2 linked regions of the Macaca fascicularis genome follow. The protein of the gene in region 1 purifies or fractionates together with the protein of each later gene. This does not show direct contact. Links are inferred from orthologs where the notes say so. Each region holds a gene or a part of one and is shown on either strand. Other genes may lie near its edges. The genes, in order: BACH2 and MAFK.

Region 1 (9,481 bases):
AGATGATTCCAGTGCTGCTGGAACCAGGACAACCAGCTCAGTGCTGGGCAGATGGCAATGACAAAATCTCCCCTCCCAGGTGAAAAAATGTGTCCCGCACAATTGTCCTTCCATGCTCTCTTCTCATGGTCCAGTTTCTAACACAAATACAGGACACCTAGGATTCAGTTGTGATACTTCAATTAATTAGCTGTGTGATCTCAGGCAAGTCTTCGTTCTGTCCTAAAGTTCTTGGAGGATCTAGGAGTCAAAGGGAGATAACGCCTGCCCTGCTTAGCTTATAGGGTTGCTGTGAAGAATACAACTGGATGACAGGTGGAAGTGCTTGGGAAAGTTTCAACTGCCTAATAGATACAAGGTATTATTATTTCTGTTTATCAGCTCTATTTATCTTTGTCACATGGTTTCATCTTACAGACATGTGCTTTGGAATTCCAGACTCTCACAATGTTCTAGACAACATAAAAACACTGTTTTAATTAGAAATATGGCTGATTTCTATGCTGCCCAGCAAGGTTTCTTTTTATTAAGCAGACCAATTACAGACACTTCTAAAAACATGCCCGATTCACCAAACCACAAAAATGATTGTACAAATTTTACATACAACATGTGTCTCAAAGTCAGCATTTGGGTGGGAAGAGTTAAGAGTCAGATGGCTCTTTTGTACCATTTCCATGTTTTCTCTGGACTTTATCTCTCTTCCCTTCTCTCTGTTTCCCGCCCCCTGCCTGCCCCCAACACACTCTCTTACCTCTCATACACTTTTATCCCTCTCAATGTAAAACATGTTAATAAAGCAAGTCCAATGAATCCATACTTTTGACTGTGCAAATAAACCCTCTGTGGTGCTTCTTTACTAAAATCTACAATTAAGTAGAAATGGTCCAGCTACAAAGCTGTCTTACTAAGAAGCTTACTACTTTGGAAAATGACTGTGATTTTCTATAATTTCCAACATTTAAAAACAAACCTATAAACTATAATGAGATAAACTATAACTACTTCACACCCACTAGAGGGCTTTAACAAAAAAGATGGGCAATAACAAGTGTTGGCAAGGATGCAGAGAAACTGGATCCCTGATACATTGTTGGTGGGAATTTGAAATGGTATAGCCACCTTGGAAACAGTCTAGTAGCTCCTCAGAAGGTTAAATACAAAGTTATATGATTCAGCAGTTCCACTCCTAGGAATATTATGAAAATAACTGAAAACAAGTCTTAAAAAACTTGTCTCAAATGCTCACAGCAGCATTATTTATAATAGCCCCAAAGTGGAAACAACCCAAATGGCCCTCAACCAATGAACAACAAAATGTGGTATTGGTCAACAAAATGGATCAACATAATGGAATATTACTCAGCAATTAACAGGAACAAAGGACTAATACATGACAATATCTCTGGTGAGTACATCAATGGCAAAGGTAAACCTTCAAAGTATTATGCTAAAGTGAAAGAAGCTAGACACAGAAGGCTACATCTTGCAAGATTCTATTTATACAAATGCCCCAAACAGGTACATCCACAGAGACAGAAGGTAGATTACTGGTTGCCTGGGGTTGAGGGGAGTGGGCAATGAGGAATAACCACTAATGGGTACGGCATTTCCTTTTAGGGTGGTGAGAATGTTTTGGAATTATCACAGTGGTGATGGTTGTACAACACTGTGAATATATCAACAACCACTGAATTGTTCATCTTAGGGTGAATTTTATGGTATGCGAATTATGTCTTAATTTAAAAGATAAACCTACATAAAATTCAAACATTACATACATACATAGAAATGAAACTTTCCCTACACTCCTCTTCAATGGTGCTCCCGGTTTTTTCTTATTCTCTATACTGATTTCATTTATAGGGTGTGCATATTCAGAAAACAAACTAGGACCTTGTGCATACTGTTTTGTGATTTTCACTTAATGTGACTTGTTCATTTTTTTTTTTTATTGGAAGAGAAAAATTCCCAACCTGACTTCTTAAGGAATATAGCAAATCCAGAAGTCATAAAAAAAGACTTATACCTTGACTACATGAAACTAAAAAAACTTTTATATGGGAAAAGGTACAATAAATAAAGAAGCAGACTAAGGGAATATCCAAGCGACATTTATGAGAAAGGGTTAATATTCCTAATATTGGGGAGTAAGATTCCTACATGTTGATTTAAACAATGCAAAAGAAAATATGGGCAAAGAGGTGAACCAATAATTCACAGGAAATGAAATATCAATGTTCAATACACACAAAACAACATGTCAGCTTCATTAGTAGTCACCATTTTTTGCCTATCAAATTGGCAAAAATTAAAAAGACTGGTGACAACTAGTATGGGCAAGAATAGGGGAAACTGGACATTCTAAGTTGTTGGATGAAATGTGAATTGCTACGACGTTTTGGGTAGGTCATTAGGTAGTGTTTAAAAAATGAGCACAACATTTAGCTCATCTATGAAACTAACCCACAAAAATAAAAGCACCACTACTAACAGTATGCTCACAAAATGTTTATTGCAGCCATGTTTATCAGAGGGAAAAACTGAAAACACCTGAAATGTCCACTGATAAGTGACAGATGAATGAACTACGATTTACAAGAACCAGAGATACTAGAGAAACATGTCTTGGCCCTATGTGATTGACCTACAGCCATGTGGATGGTAGACAGCTATGTGAAAAAAGGAAGCTGCTAACTCTACAATATAATGCCATTAAAATAAAACCCAAACCCATAGAGAGGTGAATATATATTTGTATATTATTGCAGGCAAAGAGAGAGCCTGTGAAATTTGATGTGTTTGGGGCTGGGTACGCTGTGTTCTAGAATTTAAAAAAGAGTGTCATTTTAAGAAGCTGATTATTGATAAAGGATAATACTGTGCTAATTTGATCTTTCTCGAAGCTAGGGAACAGTTAAGAAGGAAATGATTGTGAGATGGAAGGGCTGCTTAACATGGTATAACTACAACATCTCACATAATATAAGGTATGTGAACACTTTTCTTTTGATCTAACATTTTGGCTCCCTACAGGGGTGGAAGAAGAGAGATTGGGAAAATGCACGTGAAGTATTAGACTGGTGTCTGGCAAGGGGTAGAAACTCCTGTCTTCACTTCTGACTCTGGTGTCTCCTTGGGGTTCACTTGAAAGAGAAGGCACCTGGATCTCATAGGAGAGCAGGGCAGAATCAGCCCAGCAGATGCTGGCTTCTTCTGATCAGTTCAGGAAAACAAGTTTTGACTTGTGGAGAAGGATCTGCCTTGAGCACTATTACTGGGGATAATACTTCAACCAGGGTCAAAGTAACTCCCTAAAGCAGGTTATCAACTCCTTGAGCAGCAGTCATGGCAAGTCCCTGAGACAGTTCTTGGAAAGCTAACCTCCTCTACTCTAGGAAAATTAAGACGTAAAATTGGAGAAAACCTTGGCTTTACTATAACTGTCCTGTCCGAACTGTACCACTGAGAGGGACTATGATTTCCAAAATGGCATACAGCTTTGGTAAATGTCTCTTCTTTCACTGTTCAGGAATGCAGAAGATGGATTCTTTTTTTAAAGGTAAAAATAGGAATATTTTTAAAAGTAGGGGTATTTCTCAAGGGGGGAAGGCTAGTCCTGTTCGTGACTGTTTTACAGGTTGAATGAGTCCTCCTTTTAATTGAGTTACTATTTTTAATTCTAAGGTAAACAACTGACACGGCTCCAACACAGAAAAAATACATGTGTTCTTGCTGTGGTCTCGAGTTCCAAGAAATGACTCTATGCTCTCTTTTGGGATATTGGTGGCGGGGCGAGGGGGTGGGGAGCGCAAAAGAAGATGTCTCTGAAACTGACAGTTCTTCGAACAAATGCAAATGTCATAAAAACACAAGCTTCCCTTGAGCTTAATGGCCAGTTTTTTTTTTTTTTTTTTGGAGACAAGGTCTCACTCTGTCACCCAGGCTGGAGTGCAGTGGCAATCTCAGCTCACTGCAACCTTCTCCTGGGCTCAAGAGATCCTCCCACCTCAGCCCCACAAGTAGCTGGGACTACTGGCATGAGCCACGACACCCGGCTTTTTTTTTTTATACTTTTGGTAGAGATGTGGTTTCACCATGTTGCCTAGGCTGGTCTTGAACTCCTGAACTCAAGTGATCCACCCACCTCAGCCTCCCAAAATGCTAGGATCACAGGCCTGAGCCACCACGCCTGGCCCCAGGCTCCTCTTAAAGGAGAGACAAAAAACAGACTGCAGGCCTTTGTCCTCTTCTCCCTCCAGCAGTCCTTGGTAGGAAGCCATGATGCAGATGAGCTGGACGCAGTGGCTAGCCTTCCACACCAGGCATGCTCATTCACGGTTTCAGAACAAAAGGAAAACCTCACTAAAGAGGTCAGAGGGAAAGAATGAGTAAGGAGAGAGAAAACATAAGCCTTCACTATTTTCAGGAAAGCTCAATCTTCCCAATGTTAGGGACACAGATGTGAGCCTGGCTTGGGGCACGAGGCACAACCCGCCACCCCAAACCTAAGGAGAGACGGTATATTCGCATGGGAATAGCTCCCATTCAAATTTCCTTTCTAATTTATTTTAAACTAAATCCTTTCAGTGTTTCTCTTTCTCCATGTCTGCTAGGCAGTGAAGAGAGGGGAAGAAACCAGGCTAGCGAGCAAAGAAGGAAGTGACCACAGGGCATTTTTGGCAGTTGGCATAGGGCCTTTGGCATCTACTTTCAAAACATGCCCAAACTAAAAACCTCATGTGCTTCTCGCCAATCTTGCAGAGGCTGAATAAACTGCACGTGGCTCTGTGAAAAGCCACCTCATCCCATGTGGCATTTCTGCTGTCTGGTTGGGTTAACATCTCTGCCTTACAGAGGCTGGTAACATCCAGAGAGCAGACGGGTACCAAGGTTACTGGCCTCAGGAGGACCACTTTTCATTTCTTCCTGTGTTTTTGGGATACACAGCTCTGAGAAGGGACTTGTCACTGGGTTTGTTCATTACCGTTCCTGAGGGGCGTCTGAGACACAGGTAGCAGTCTCAAGCTGGTACCTTGTCAATCAGCAAGACAGTGCCATGAACGCCAGTCACGACACAGACTCTCTCAGGTCTTCCTAGGGAATGTTCATGTTATTGGGAGGTGGGTCCTCTGGGGGAGGCCTCTTCTTTCCTCTCCTTAGTCTTGTGAGTCTTGCTCATGATGTGGCTGCTGTTGCCCCTGTTCCCCTCTCCCAGCAATGGTAAGACACACATGGGGCCTCTGGACATTCTTCCTAGCAAGTACATTGCTTTCAGGGTGGATGAAACTGCTACTGTACCCCACTACTTCTCAAAATGTCTTCCTAGCGTTTGAGGGAGCTTGGGAAATGATCCATTATACATTATGTGTGGCCGACTAGGGTGCTTCTGTGATGACCCCAGGACTGGGATAAACAGTGAGCCTTCCATCACCTTCACTGTGATGGACATGGGATGGCCCTGGGGTCTTCTGTTGACAAGGAAAATCTAAAAGGTGCTGGGAAAGTGTTGATCTATTTGGTTTCAATCAATCAATCTGGAAAGAGATGCTATATCTTCCTTTGTGCTGAAGGGGTGAAGGGCAAGGATGAGGGTGATGAACATGGCATCCTTCCAAAGCAGATGTAGGAGGGGGAAGAGAAGGAGGAGAAAGAGGGGGGTGTGCAGTGCCTCAGTGCACTTCATGCATTAGACTTCAGTATTTTTTTACTCAGCAGCTTGCCTCTGCTTGTTGAGTATTGAGATCCAGATCAAATATTAAGTGCTTTTCTAGGACGGAAGTGGTTAATGTGGAATCACCTTCAGCACCCTGCCTCTGTGGATGGGGAAGGCAGTCTCTCTACTGCCATCTTTAATCTCAGCATGTAAGAACAATCTGGGAGTGGTGGGGGGGCAGGGAATAGTCCAGATAAAGGGCCTAGAGAGTGGGTTACATGCTTGAATTTATGTGGGTTCCCTACCTCCTGGCCCCTGTCCTGCACAGGACACGACTCACTGTCTGCTTCCGAGAACGATCCGGATTCGTCACTGGAGTTGGTTCCGTAAGACTGCTCACATTTAATCTGGGGCCGCACTTGGTTGTACATTCCGTCTCCCATCAGGCCTGGTTCCTGATGTTCTGTGGCAAGGAATCTGGCTCCCTGCGAACAGGGCGAGGAGGAGAACTCACAGAGAGGGAGGCTGCAGGGCGAGCCCCCGCTCCCGTCCTCCGCATAGGAATAGGAGGAGCAGGAGCTGGAAGTCCTGGTCCTGGTCTCCAAGGGGGGTGAGCGAGGGCAGACTTTGATTGGCACCGGGCAGCTGGTGTTGGGCCGCATCCTTCCTGGCAAGTGGTCGGCCATCAGCCCACCGTGGGAGTAGGCCTGTGAGCTGGGGAGGGACTGGCCAGCTCCCACCCACAGACCCTTTGGCACCGGCTCAGAGAGGTCTTTGTCCAAACTGCTCACCCCAGAATAAGAATGCACCGAGGTGCTCACTTGGTCACAAGCGCTGGAGGAGAAGATCACGCTCCTCCGGTCCAGCTCTCCCTCCTGTTTACAGAGAGCCTCCAACCCAGGCCCCCTGAGGGGCGACCCCATGGTGAAGTTGGACACCTCCTTCTGGCCCACATGGGGCTGTCCATAATTCCCTGTGAAAGGGGTGTAGTCAGTTTTAAGGTCACCCTGAGTGATCCCCTTGTCAAAAGGGCACGCTGGACTCCTGGCAAAGTGCTGCTGAGATGTACTGGGCAGGCCAGACAGCTCCACACTTTTCGTTATGCTGAACAGAGACCTTAAGCAGGAGGGCGAGGCCACGCTCCTGGATCTCTCCAGGCAGGTGGCCCCAGCTGGGGCCGTGGGGGTAGGGGCAGGGCTGGGCTGTTTCCGGTCCATCTCGACATCCCCCGCTCTGTCCTTGGCGTCAGGCTCATCTCCAGACAGGCAGAGTGTGATGCTCTCTTCCTCATTCTCTTCACTGGGCGGCTCACTTTTAATCTGCCCCCTGGCAAGCCCTGGCTTGAGGCTGTTGCTAGAGTTTTCTTCCCGGAATGTGCTTGCAAAACCTGAGGTACTGTGTGATGATGCATTATAGACATTCTTGGTACATGCAAGCTGGTATTTCTTGTATCTGGGGTACTGCGTTAACGCGTCCTTTTCTGAGCTCTCCTTGGTGTCCGTGGGCACGTCGGGCTCGGGCAGCAGGGCTTCTTCCTTCTCTGCTACAGGGATGGCGGCGGCCTCAAAGCTGATGGGCTCTGGAAGCATCTGGTCCCTGGGGCAAGCCATCTTGGCCGTCTCTGAATCCATCGTCTCCTCCTCTTCATCCTCCTCCTCTCCTGCAGAGTTCTCACAGTCCTCGTGCGGGCGCTGGCATGCAGCATCCTTCCGGCACACAAACAGGCCATCCTCACTGTTCAGGAGCTGGGTCTGCAGGAAACTGAAGCAGGAGTCCTCCAGGTTGTGCATGCGCAGGAACTCAGCACAGCGGATGACCTCGCGGATGTTTTCTCTGCTGAGTAACAGCTTGGCAGTGTAGGCAAACTGTAACAGCGGCCCAAAGCCCCTGGCCGTGACCTGCAAAACAAACAGGAAAATCGCCAACATTACCATCAGCACCGCTATTGTCCCGAATCCCTCAACTGAAGCAAGATAACCAGACAGTGCTAATGTCCCAGAATAAAGACTGCAAAGGGGCAGTTAATCTTGTAGTACTGGGTCAGCGATGATTCTGCTTCCAATAATTAGTGCCTGTCTCGTGCATGCCACTGCTGTACTCCATCACGGCACAGGCAGAATTGAAAATCACCAGGGTCAAGTGGCTAAACAAGATGACAACGGGTTCAGTGTTTACACTAATGAAATATCCTGGCAAAAATGCATGGTGACAATGGGGAGCCTATTAATTTCCCTCCCAATCGGTCCTGTTGAGAGCCATTCTACACGAGGGGGGAGTGTTGTGACAGTTCTTGCAGCTTAGCTTGCTGGAGCCCAAGAGAGCCTTAACGTTTTCTTGTCAACCACAAAAATGACAAGGTGGCCCTGCAAAAAACTAAGTCCAGGGAGTTGCAAAAATAGGTTTTCCTCACTTACAATGTTAAAAGAGACATTAAAACAACTCTGTTTTGCTCATCCATCACAGTTTCTACTTGAGACTTTCGGTCATGATGTCCTACCTGATCTTATAATGATGATGATCTCATTATCTCACCAGAGATGACAACAATCAAAAGCGGTGTGCTCAAGACGAAATCAACCCCTGGCCCATAATGAACAGGGGTTGCAGAGCTAAACAAACCGGCTGTCATTTAAATGGTTGAACCTGCTGAGTGGCACAGGGTATGGGCTATTCCTTCCCTAATTATTGGCAGCAGCTTTGCCATGCAGCTGTCTTTTTTTCCTGGTAAATCTTCAGGGGCTAAGCCTACTGTCATTTGCTGCTTATCCATTATATTTTACATAGATTGAAAGTGTGCTATTTATGCACAGCTTGCATATGCACACAAACACATGTGCGCGCGCACGCATGCCTGCTCACACACAATGACTTAGACAATTAAGAATATGTTGCCTGAGGCCAATTGTTTTTTCAGATGGAAATGGATTAAACTTGCTGCTGTTCATCAGGGTAGGCTTCCTTACCCTGCACATAAAACCACACATCCTCTAGGTTCTTGCAAGCACCGCTGACCCCACAGGAAGGTGAGGCATGTCTACAAATCCTGTACAAATCAAATGAAAGCAGCAATCATGGGGTCCTTGCTAGAAGCTATGGTAGCAGTGATACAAAATTTTAGCTGGGGGAGTGAGTGCACTGCAAGGTGAACTGGTAAGCTTTGTAGCTGACTTCTGCATGTATTAAACTCACTGTAGCATACAGAGCCCAAATTCTTGCAAGTACCTGTAATTGATGTTCAAGATTCAACCTGGACATTCACTCCTTTGGGAGTGCTCTCCAGTCCTCTTAGAGAGAATGAATGACATTGTTCTCTCAGCTCTCATAGCCAGGTGAGGAAATGTGCTGGATTCTCCAGGGCAGCAATGACTTCATATCACTGCATTCTTTCCAGTAAGGGAAATTTCTTAGACATGTAACTGAACGGGATTTTAATTGTTAATCTTTTTAAAGTACTTAAGTAAGATTCCATCTTAAATTTTTTTTTTTCCTGTCAGATGACAAGTCCAGAGATATTCGGTTAAAAAAACAAAACAAAAAGCCATGACTGCTAGACCCACATTATAAATTCTATGTGGGCAATCACTGCCATCTCCCTTTTATTATACCTAATTGTGTCTGTTTCTACCATAAGAGAGCAAGCTCCTTCAGATCAGGAATGGTTTTGTCTGTCTTTGTAACCTTGCGTCTAATCTAACCTGGGGTCTCTAACATGGTAAATACTTGTTAAAAGCTTGTATGTTACCGAATATGTCGTAAGTTGAACTGTGTGCTAACATACTACTACTGTGTACACAAGGTAACAACACAGTGTGTTTAGAGGGTGCT
Region 2 (10,076 bases), on another chromosome or scaffold:
CCTCCTGCCTCAGTCTCCCAAAGTGCTGGGATTACAGGCAGGAGCCACCATGCCCAGCCATTTTTAACTCTTTAAGTCCCAGCTAATACTCACTGGTCACCCATGGGTCTGGCCCTGCTCAGTGGGGGACTGGCAGCCCTGGCATCTCTTGCTGTGCTGGCACAAGCTGAGAAGGACCTGCTCTGGGGTCCAGGAGGGAACAGTTTCTCCTTAAAGTTGGGACTGGGCACGGTGGCTCTTGCCTGTAATCTCAACACCTTCGGAGGCTGAATGCTTGAGCCCAGTAGCTTTAGACCAGCCTGGACAACAGAGCGAGGCCCCATCTCTAAAAAAAAAAAAAAAAAAAAAAACATAATTTTTTTTTTTTTTTTTTGAGACAGAGTCTCGCTCTGTTGCCCAGGCTGGAGTGCAGTGGTCGAATCTCAGCTCACTGCAAGCTCCGCCTCCCGGGTTTACGCCATTCTCCAGCCTCAGCCTCCTGAGTAGCTGGGACTACAGGCGCCCGCCACCTCGCCCGGCTAGTTTTTTGTATTTTTTTAGTAGAGACGGGGTTTCACTGTGTTAGCCAGGATGGTCTCGATCTCCTGAGAAAACCATAATTTTTAAATAGCCAGGTGTGATGGCACACGCCTATGGTCCCGACTACTCGGGAGGCTGAGGTGGGAGGATTGCTTGAGCCAGGAAGTCGAGATTGCAGTGAGCTGTGATCACACCACTGCACTCCAGCAGCCTGAGTGACAGAGCAAGACCCAGTCTCTTAAAAAAAAAAAAGAGAGTGCAAAAGTGAGTTGAACAGCTGATGGCTGGATGACCCCTCTAAACAGTCCTGGCTGTGGATGCCCATGGAGAAACGGGGATTTCAGCTTCAGGGCTCTGATTCTTCCCGGATGAGAGGACGCATCAGGGCCGCTGCTCGCTCTCCAAGGCCGGCATGGGGGCTCTGGATGGGTCACTTGTTCTCTCCCAAGGGGTGAATGACAAGGCAGACCCCACGCCCCACCCCCGCGGCCACCCAGCCGGTCTGACCGAGACAGAGCGGCCCTTCCACTTCTATCCTCCACGGGTCTCCGAGGCTGTGGGATGCGGGAGAGGGAGGAGGGGTGGGAGGAAGACCAGGAACGGAGGACGGGAGTTGTGTTCGAGACTCGGGTTTAGAAATCCAGGAGCACAGCAGTAAGCACCCTCCCGCTCTCCCTCACCAGTGACTCCCACGACAGGTGCAATCCACAAAACCAGAGGCCGCCCAGGGTGTACCTGCCTCTCCCAGGAGCCTTTCTGCCAGAGACCCCAAGCCAGGCACCCTCCACAGGGGGCCACAAGGGTAGGTGGGGCCACTGTGGCACTGGTACCCAGTGGGCACCTGTCAAACAGGTGTCAACCGACTAACTGCAGCCCGGCTGCTCCCAGAGACCAGCCAGACACCCTTCCTATTGAGGATGAGGACCCCCACTGTCCGGCTGTCCTGGACATGGGAAATGCGGGAGGCACCCCACTTGGCACCCCCCAGCCCGGCCCGCACCAGCCGGCAGCCTGGCCCTGGCTGGCTGCCCTCCAGCAAGCCACGACTGTCCGCCTGGCTTGGAGGACGTCTGGTCACCTTGCATTTGCAGTCTGAGGAAGCTGTGTCATTCCGCTACATCCAGAGGTGACTCAGGCAGCTGCAGCAGCAGAGAGCAAACTGCAGAACACACCACACCTCCTCCAGTCCCTGCCCTGGCTCCCACCACACCATCCTCCTGTCCTCAGCTTCCAGCTTCCCGTCAGCGTCCTGTTCTCCCCGGCCACCCTGGGGCTTCAATCCGCTCCCAGCTTCCAAGTCCAACCAGGGGCATTCCGGGGGGCCCAGATGCCCCCCAGCCCCCAACCGCATCACTCACCGGAGTTGCCCCCACCCCTGTCTCTTCTCCTCGTCCACGCTCCAACCGGGCTTGATCCCAGCCCTCAAGCATCTCCCGCCCGAACCCGCAGCACCTGCCCAGGCTCCGGCCTCCAGCTTCTCCAGTGTGGACCACAGCTTTGCCAAAGGGATGCCCTCACCCTGATCCTGGTGCCCCCCACGCAGCCCCACAGGCAGTCAAAAGTTTTGGGGTTCCTCCCAAACCCCGACCCCCTCACCCCAACACCGTTTCAGGTTTCTGATCACCCCCATCTGCAGAGAGCACGTGGCCCCCTGCCCCCCTCAAGCCCTGCTTCTTCCAGAAACGCTCCCCACTGCTCTCCTTGCGTAGGCAAGCACCCTCTACCAAGGCCTGGTTCTAGATCCTTCTGGGGACGGGGCCCTCCCCGTGGTGTGGTGAGCTCCTCGCAAGCAGGGAGCATGTCTTCCCTACACCCCATACGAGCCTCCCACTGTACGAGATGAGCCGGCCCCGCACGGGAGGGCAGCGAGAGGGCAGTCTCCACCCCAATACCTTCCCCAGGACGCCCGACGCGCAGTGCGGACAAGCAGGCAGGTTCTACACCAGACCCCACTGGCCCTTGGGACAGGCCAGCAGACGTCACGGCCTGGGTTTCCTCATCTACAGCGGGCGGTCGGGGTGGGGCGTGTGACCTCTCAGGTTCATTTGTACCTGCTCTAAAACTCTATGATTTTAAGACGACACTCCCAGTTTCCTGAAACTGTAGGAAAGCGGAAACATGACGGAGTCTGTGACTTATAAAAAGCAAAAATAAATAGCGGGGAAAGGTATCTTCCATTCGAGGAGAGCAGGGAGGGTGGGGACGGAGCGGTGAGTCACTGTTTACTGTTGAAAGGCAGCCACACGGAGCCTTCTCCCAGCTGGCCAGATTTCCATTTCCCGTGTGGACTGGACCCGAAACCCAGAAAGTCCACTCCAGAAACCTTTAGACTCAGAAACAGCTGGGACAGGAACAGGCACAACTTCTTCTCGGTCTGGGTGGCAAACAGCTTTGCTGGAGACTGTAAACAAACGCAGCCATCGCCGAGCCCCGTGGGTGAAAGCGCACGCCTTGTAGACAGCAGAGTGGCCCGGAAGACGGTCTCACTTAACAGTGGCCTCCCGGGTGCACACAAAGGCTGGCGCCCCGACAGCCCCAACCCTTGGTAAACGCTGGCTCCCGGGTTTACCAGCACCTGGGGAATCAATGCTGTAGGGAACCAGCCCCTCAAAGCCCTGGCTCAGCTCAAGGATAAAAGGCAGGAGAAACCTGGTTTGTTTTTCTGCTTTAGTAAATGTCTTATTTTGGAATAATGAAAGGTCTAGTTTTAAAAAGCAGACTCCCTCTCCCAAGGTCAAACTCAGACATTCCTACTGGGTTACCTAAGAAGGGGAGATGTTCTCTTAAACGGCACTGGACGCCCAAATAGGGTGTAGGTGTGTCCCAGACACCTGCACAGCCCACCTATGTTCTCCAGACCCCGCCCACAGCTCTTTCAATACTCCACATCCCTGAAGACACTGGGCTTGGAGAAGCTGCACAGGGCATCCCACTCCATGTTGGAGACCCCCTTACAACAACACACTGTGATAGTGAAACCTCAGTGCCAGTAGAGACCTGGCAGCCCACCCTGGAGAATCAGAGGGGTGGGAAGGGCAGTGCCGGAGCCGAACCACAGTGATATCCCCTAGTCCACGGTGTCCCGCAGTGGGGGGCGTTTTGAGTCCCAGGATCTTCCCAAGGCCAGGCACCTGGCCAGAGAGTGGCTGGCTGCCTGTGGGTCACCTGGTGAATGAATGGTGGATCTGATTTCTGCCTCAGCTATAAGAGCCGCCTAAGAAGCAAGAAACAGCATGCTCAGGGATGCAGGACACGGGGAGAGGGACACAGGAGGCCCCGCAAACATGAACACACACGGTGTGAGGGTGAGAATGCAGCACAGGGCCACTGCTGTACCCCAGGGGGACCCAGGTCAAGGGCCAAGGCCAGGCGGGGTCCTGGCTTTCTGGGTTTTTCCGCGGCGCCTCGACCCACCCCCCCAGGATCTTGAGGCTGTGCAAACAGAGACACACACACACACACACAGCGTCACGGGCACATAACACAGTTTCCTGAACTTGACAAGAGGCACAGAAGAACCCACGCAGTGGGAGCGGGAAGAGGCCTGAGCCCCTGCCCCACATGTGAGCAAAGGGACACACGCCTTGGGGCCCCTGTCACCTGCTCCCCTCCGGCCTCCCCACGGCCTTCCTTCCAGCAACCCTGGCAGGTGGGCGGCTGAAAGCAACACCAGTCCCAGGATCCTGCCTGTGGGGAGACTCGGTTACCCCCACCCCGTCCACGGGCACGCGTGGGCCGCAGCGCCGCCCGTCACCGGGAGGAAGCGAGGGGGGCAGGCCGGGGCCGCACGCGGAAGCCACGCTGGGGCGGAAGGCACGGGGAATCCACGCGCCCGCGCCCTCCCCGCCCCGCCCCCCGCAGGTGTGAAGGCGCGGGCACAATGAGCGCCGCCGACCCGCGTGGACTCCCGTGTTCCCAGGTCTGGGGTCCACGCCCCAGGGCCCCGGGCTTAGCAAGCATGGCCCGGGCGGCACGTGCAGGGCAGAGAGCTTCGCGTCCCGGGGAAGCCCCCTGGGCCTGCGGGGCTGGGCCCAACGGGGCAGGTGCGCGGGCCGCGTAGGGGGCCGCATGGGGGTCTCGGGCCCTGCGCACCCAACCCCGCCACCCTCGGCCCGCGCCCCCGGGCGGCCGTGACTCAGCGGCCAGGTGGCCCCAGCCCCGCGTCCCGGTCTCCGTCCCCGCCGCGGCCCGGTCCCCGCTGCTCCACCGCCCCTCACCTGGCGTCGCGCGGAGGGCGCGGGCGCGCGGCGGCTCCTCGCGGGCACGCGCTGTCCTCGCGCCGGCGCTCACTCTCGCGCTCCCCTCGGCCGCCGCCGCCTGGCGCTCGGGCTCCGACTTCACGAAGAACAACAACTCCCCCCCGCCGCCCGCCGCCCGCCGCCACCGCGCCCGCCCGCCCGGCTCCCCAGCATCTGACACCGCTTCCGGGATCCGCGGCGCGCGCGTCACGCCGCCCCGCCCCCCCTGGGGCCACGCCCCCTCCCTCCCCCGCGGGCACGCCTTCCTCTCCCGCCCGGGGGTCCGCGGGCCCCGCCCGCACCTGCAATCCCCGCGCTTTGGGAGGCCCGGCGGGAGGATCTCTGTGGGCCAGCAGTTCAAGACCAGTCTGGGCAATATAGCGAAACCTCCCTTCCCCCATTCCCCGTCTCTACAAACATAAAAAACATTAAGGCCAGCTGGGCACAGTGGCTCATGCCTGTAATCCCAGCACGCTGGGAGGTCAAAGCAGGAGGATCGCTTGAGCCCAGGAGTTCCAGACCAGCGTGGACAACATAGTGAGACCCCCATCTCTACAAAAAATTACAAAAAGTAGTCGGTCGTGGTGGTATGTGCCTGTAGTCCCAGTTACTCAGGAGGCTGAGGCAGGAGGATGGCTTGAACCTGGAAGGTGGAGGCTGCAGTGAGCCATGATTTCATCACTGCACTCTAGCCTGGGTGACAAGGTGAAACCCTGTCTCAAAAAACAAAACAAAACAAGCAAACCAGCAATGTAAAAATGGGGATAAGCGGCTACTGGTCACAGCTTCTGTGAGTGGGGCCAGCCCCCTTCTAAAGCCCCAGCTGCTGGTTGCCAGGGGGCCACAGCAGGCCCAGGATGGGGTTAGGGCACCACCGGCCCAAGGAGTCCTGTGAGGGATCCTCAGGTGGGAGCCGGTCCCTGAGGGAGCTGCCTCTGCTTCTTGTCGCAGGTGGAGGACAGGCTGGAGTGGGGACCCGTCCAGAGTCCCTCAGAGGGGAGGGTGAGCCCCTTACCAAGCTTCTGGGTCCCCAAGTCCCGCCCTCCTCTGAGCGCTGCAGGAAAAGGAGTCTCAGGCCTGGCCAACCAGGGCACCCACGGCATCTGCCCAGGGTTCTGGGAAGCCTGTTTTCTCGGCTCAGGTGGGACTCGGGAGCCTGTTTCTCGGCTCAGGTGGGACTCAGGAGCAAGGACAGGGAGGTCTGTGCATCTTCTGGGTGTCATCCTTACCACCGCGTGCCTGGGGATTTAGGCAGCCGCCCAGTGGCCTCTTGCTGTGGAGCGAGGGGGCAGCCTCCCGGACCATCTCTGACCCCCACTTCTGACCACCTGGGAGGCGCCTCCTTGCTGAGGCCCACGCTGCCGTCTGGGGTAGCCAGACACAGTGATGCCTGCAACCTGGCTGCAGAAACAGGAGCCAAGAAATAGCAGCAGTAGCGACAATGTCCCACGTCCCCAGGATGTTTGCAGAAAGACATCCCCGGGGGATGGGAAAGCTGCTTCCCTTGTCCCAGCCCACACTTTGCACTTGGGGTTCTGGGATGCGCTGGGAGCCTCCAGAGAAGCTGTGAGCGTCTCCTCTTTACGTTACTCATGGTGTCGCTGCTCTAACCCAACTGCATTCTTTCCATAGTAGGCTTTTGTTACTAATTGCACAGTTATATTATCTTTTTAATTTTTTAATTTGTATTTATTTATTTTTTTATTTTGACACAGAGTCTCACTCTGTCGCCCAGGCTGGAGTGCAGTGGTGCCATCTCAGCTCACTGCAAGCTCCACCTCCTGGGTTCACGCCATTCTTCTGCCTCAGCCTCCCCAGTAGCTGGGACTACAGGTGCCCACTGCCACGCCCGGCTAATTTTTTTGTATTTTTTAAAATAGAGACGGGGTTTTGCCGTGTTAGCCAGGATGGTCTCGATCTCCTGACCTCGTGATCTGCCCGCCTCGGCCTCCCAAAGTGCTGGGATTACAGGCGTGAGCCACTGCGCCCGGCCGTATTTACTTTTGAGAAGGAGTCTCACTCTGTCATCCAGCCTGGAGTGCGGTGGCACCATCTCGGCTCACTCCAGCCTCTCCCTCCCGGGTTCAGTGGTTCTCCTGCCTCAGCCCCCCGAGTAGCTGGGATCACAGGTGCCCACCACCACATATGGTTAGTTTTTTGTTGTTGTTGTCGTTGTTGTTTTGAGATGGAATCTCACTCTGTTGCCAGGCTGGAGTGCAGTGGCGCAATCTTGGCTCACTGCAAGCTCCGCCTCCCAGGTTCAAACAATTCTCCTGCCTCAGCCTCCTGAGTAGCTGGGACTACAGGTGCCTGCCGTCATGCCCGGCTATTTTTTTTTTTAATTGTATTTTTAGTAGAGATGATGTTTCACTGTGTTAGCGAGGATGGTCTCGATCTCCTGACCTCATGATCCGGCTTTCTCGGCCTCCCAAAGTGCTGGGATTACAGGCACGAGCCACCACACACAGCCAATGTTTATATTTTTAATAGAGACGGGGTTTTGCCATGTTGACTGGGCTGGTCTCGAACTGCTGGCCTCAAATGATCCACCTGCCTCAGCCTCCCAAAGTGCTGGGATTACAGGCATGAGCCACCACACTGGCTAATTTTTGTATTTTTAGTAGAAACGGTTTCACCATTTTGGCCAGGCTGGTCTCGAACCCCCGACCTCAGGTGATCCGCCCACCTCGGCCTCCCAAAGTGCTGGGATTACAGGCGTGAGCCACCACGCCCAGCCTAATTTTTAAAATTTTGATTTATTTATTTATTTGTTTGTTTTATAAGATAGCATCTCACTCTGTCACCCAGACTGGAGTTCACTGGTGCAATCACAGTTCACTGCAGCCTCCACCTCCCAGGCTCAAGTGATCCTCCTACCTCAGCCTCCTGAGTAGCTGGGACTAAGGCTGGTGCTACCACACCCAGCTAATTTTCCTTGTTTTTTTTGTAGAGACAGGGTATTGCTCTGTTGCCTAGGCTGGTCTTGAACTCCTAGGCTCAAGTGATCCTCCCACCTCATCCTCTCAAAGTGTTGGGATTACACGCATGAGCCACTGTGCCCAGCCCAAAGTTTACTTTTTATTGTGGTAAAGTATACATCATGTAGAATTTACCATTTTAACTATTTTTTTCTAACTTAAAAAAAATCTTCTTTCAGAGATAGGGTCTTGCTGTGTTGATCAGGCTGGTCTTAAACTCCTGGCCTCAAGCAATCCTCCTTGCCAGGCGCGGTGGCTCAAGCCTGTAATCCCAGCACTTTGGGAGGCCGAGACGGGTGGATCATGAGGTCAGGAGATCAAGACCATCCTGGCTAACACGGTGAAACCCTGTCTCTACTAAAAAATACAAAAAAAAAAAAAAAAAACTAGCCAGGCGAGGTGGCAGGCGCCTGTACTCCCAGCTACTCAGGAGGCTGAGGCAGGAGAATGGCGTGAACCCGGGAGGTGGAGCTTGCAGTGAGCCGAGATCGTGAAATTGTGGTATATTTGGCCGGGCGCGGTGGCTCAAGCCTGTAATCCCAGCACTTTGGGAGGCCGAGATGGGCGGATCACGAGGTCAGGAGATCGAGACCATCCTGGCTAACACGGTGAAACCCCGTCTCTACTAAGAAATACAAAAAATAGCCGGGCGAGGTGGCAGCGCCTGTAGTCCCAGCTACTCGGGAGGCTGAGGCCGGAGAATGGCGTGAACCCGGGAGGCGGAGCTTGCAGTGAGCTGAGATCCGGCCACTGCACTCCAGCCTGGGCTACAGAGCGAGACTCCGTCTCAAAAAAAAAAAAAAAAAAAAAAAAAGCAATCCTCCTGCCTCAGCCTCCCAAAGTGCTAGGATCCCAGGTGTGATTCGGTGATTAGTCTGGGCACGGTGGCCACCACACGAGGCCAATTTAACCATTTTAAGTGTACAGTTCAGTGGTGTTAAGTATATTCACGTTGTTGTACAAACATTGCCACCATCCATCTCCAGAAATTGTTCATCATTTAGTAGTTCCTTTTGTAAAAAAATGTTAAGTTCTGGCCGGGCAAGGTGGCACATGCCTGTAATCCCAGCCCTTTGGGAGGCCGAGGCGGGCGGATCACCCGAGGTCAGGAGTTCGAGACCAGCCTGACCAACATGGAGAAACCCCGTCTCTACTAAAATTACAAAATTAGCCGGGTGTGGTGGTGCACAACTGTAGTCCCAGCTACTCGGGAGGCTGAGGCAGGAGAATCACTTGAACCCAGGAGGTGAGGGTTGCAGTGAGCTGAGATTGCACCATTGTACTCCAGCCTGGGCAACAAGAGGGAAACTCCATCTCAGAAAAAAAAACACAAAACAAAACAAAAAAAGTGTGTGTGTGTGTGTGTGTGTGTGTGTGTGTGTGTGTTTTGAAACAGGATCTCATTCTGCCACCCAAGCTGGCGTGCAGTGGCACGATCCTGGCTCACTGCAGCCCGGACCTCCTGGGCTCAAGCGATCCTCCTGCCTCAGCCTCCCAAGTAGCTGGGACTACAGGCATGCACCATCATGCCCAGCTAATTTTTATATTTGTTTTGTTTTGTTTTGTTTTGTTTTGAGACAGAGTCTCGCTCTGTTGCCCAGGCTGGAGTGCAGTGGTGTGATCTCGGCTCACGGCAAGCTCCACCTCCCAGGTTCACGCCATTCTCCTGCCTCAAGCTCCCGAGTAGCTGCAACTACAGGCGCCCGCCACCATGCCTGGCTAATTTTTTTGTATTTTTAGTAGAGACAAGGTTTCACTGTGTTAGCCAGGATGGTCTGGATCTCCTGACCTCATGATCCGCCCGCCTCGGCCTCCCAGAGAGCTGGGATTACAGGTGTGAGCCACTGTGCCTGGCCTTGAAGAAAACTTGTGTAACTTTCTTCATAACTTTAGAGTGGGAAAAGGTTTCTCTAATCATGATTAAACATCTAAATACCATAAAGCAGATTCGAGGCAAAAATCCTCGCAAGTCAAGTCACAACACAAAGTGCACGCTAGGAAAAATACCTGCGACTCAGATCTACCAGGCAAAGGGATCCTAAACGTGTGTGCAAGAGCACAACCAAAAACAGAAGGCAAAGGACGTGAATAGATCATCCACAGAAAAAGAAATCCACAGAACAAACACGTGAAAAGGTGTTCATGGCCGGGTGCGGTGGCTCATGCCTGTAATCCCAGCACTTTGGGAGGCTGAGACGGGCGGATCACAAGGTCAGGAGATCGAGACCATCCTGGCTAACACGGTGAAACCCCGTCTCTACTAAAAATACAAAAACAAAATTAGCCCGGCACGGTGGCGGGCACCTGTAGTCCCAGCTACTGGGGAGGCTGAGGCAGGAGA

Evidence for each region.
Region 2: the proteins of BACH2 (region 1) and MAFK purify together in Homo sapiens (co-immunoprecipitation; 3 studies listed by BioGRID and IntAct, with this or other methods). This does not show direct contact. The link is inferred for Macaca fascicularis from reciprocal best matches to the Homo sapiens genes BACH2 and MAFK.

Annotation. Positions count from the first base shown.
Region 1 is NC_088378.1:85,423,917-85,433,397, reverse strand, and holds part of BACH2 (transcription regulator protein BACH2), read right to left. Parts: intron 7,555-9,481; coding exon 5,962-7,554; coding exon of another isoform or gene 5,803-5,961; exon of another isoform or gene 493-5,802; intron 1-492. UniProt on the Homo sapiens protein: Transcriptional regulator that acts as a repressor or activator. Binds to Maf recognition elements (MARE). Plays an important role in coordinating transcription activation and repression by MAFK.
Region 2 is NC_088377.1:34,975,654-34,985,729, reverse strand, and holds the start of MAFK (transcription factor MafK), read right to left. Parts: upstream 4,934-10,076; 5' UTR 4,737-4,933; intron 1,650-4,736; exon of another isoform or gene 932-1,649; intron 1-931. UniProt on the Homo sapiens protein: Since they lack a putative transactivation domain, the small Mafs behave as transcriptional repressors when they dimerize among themselves.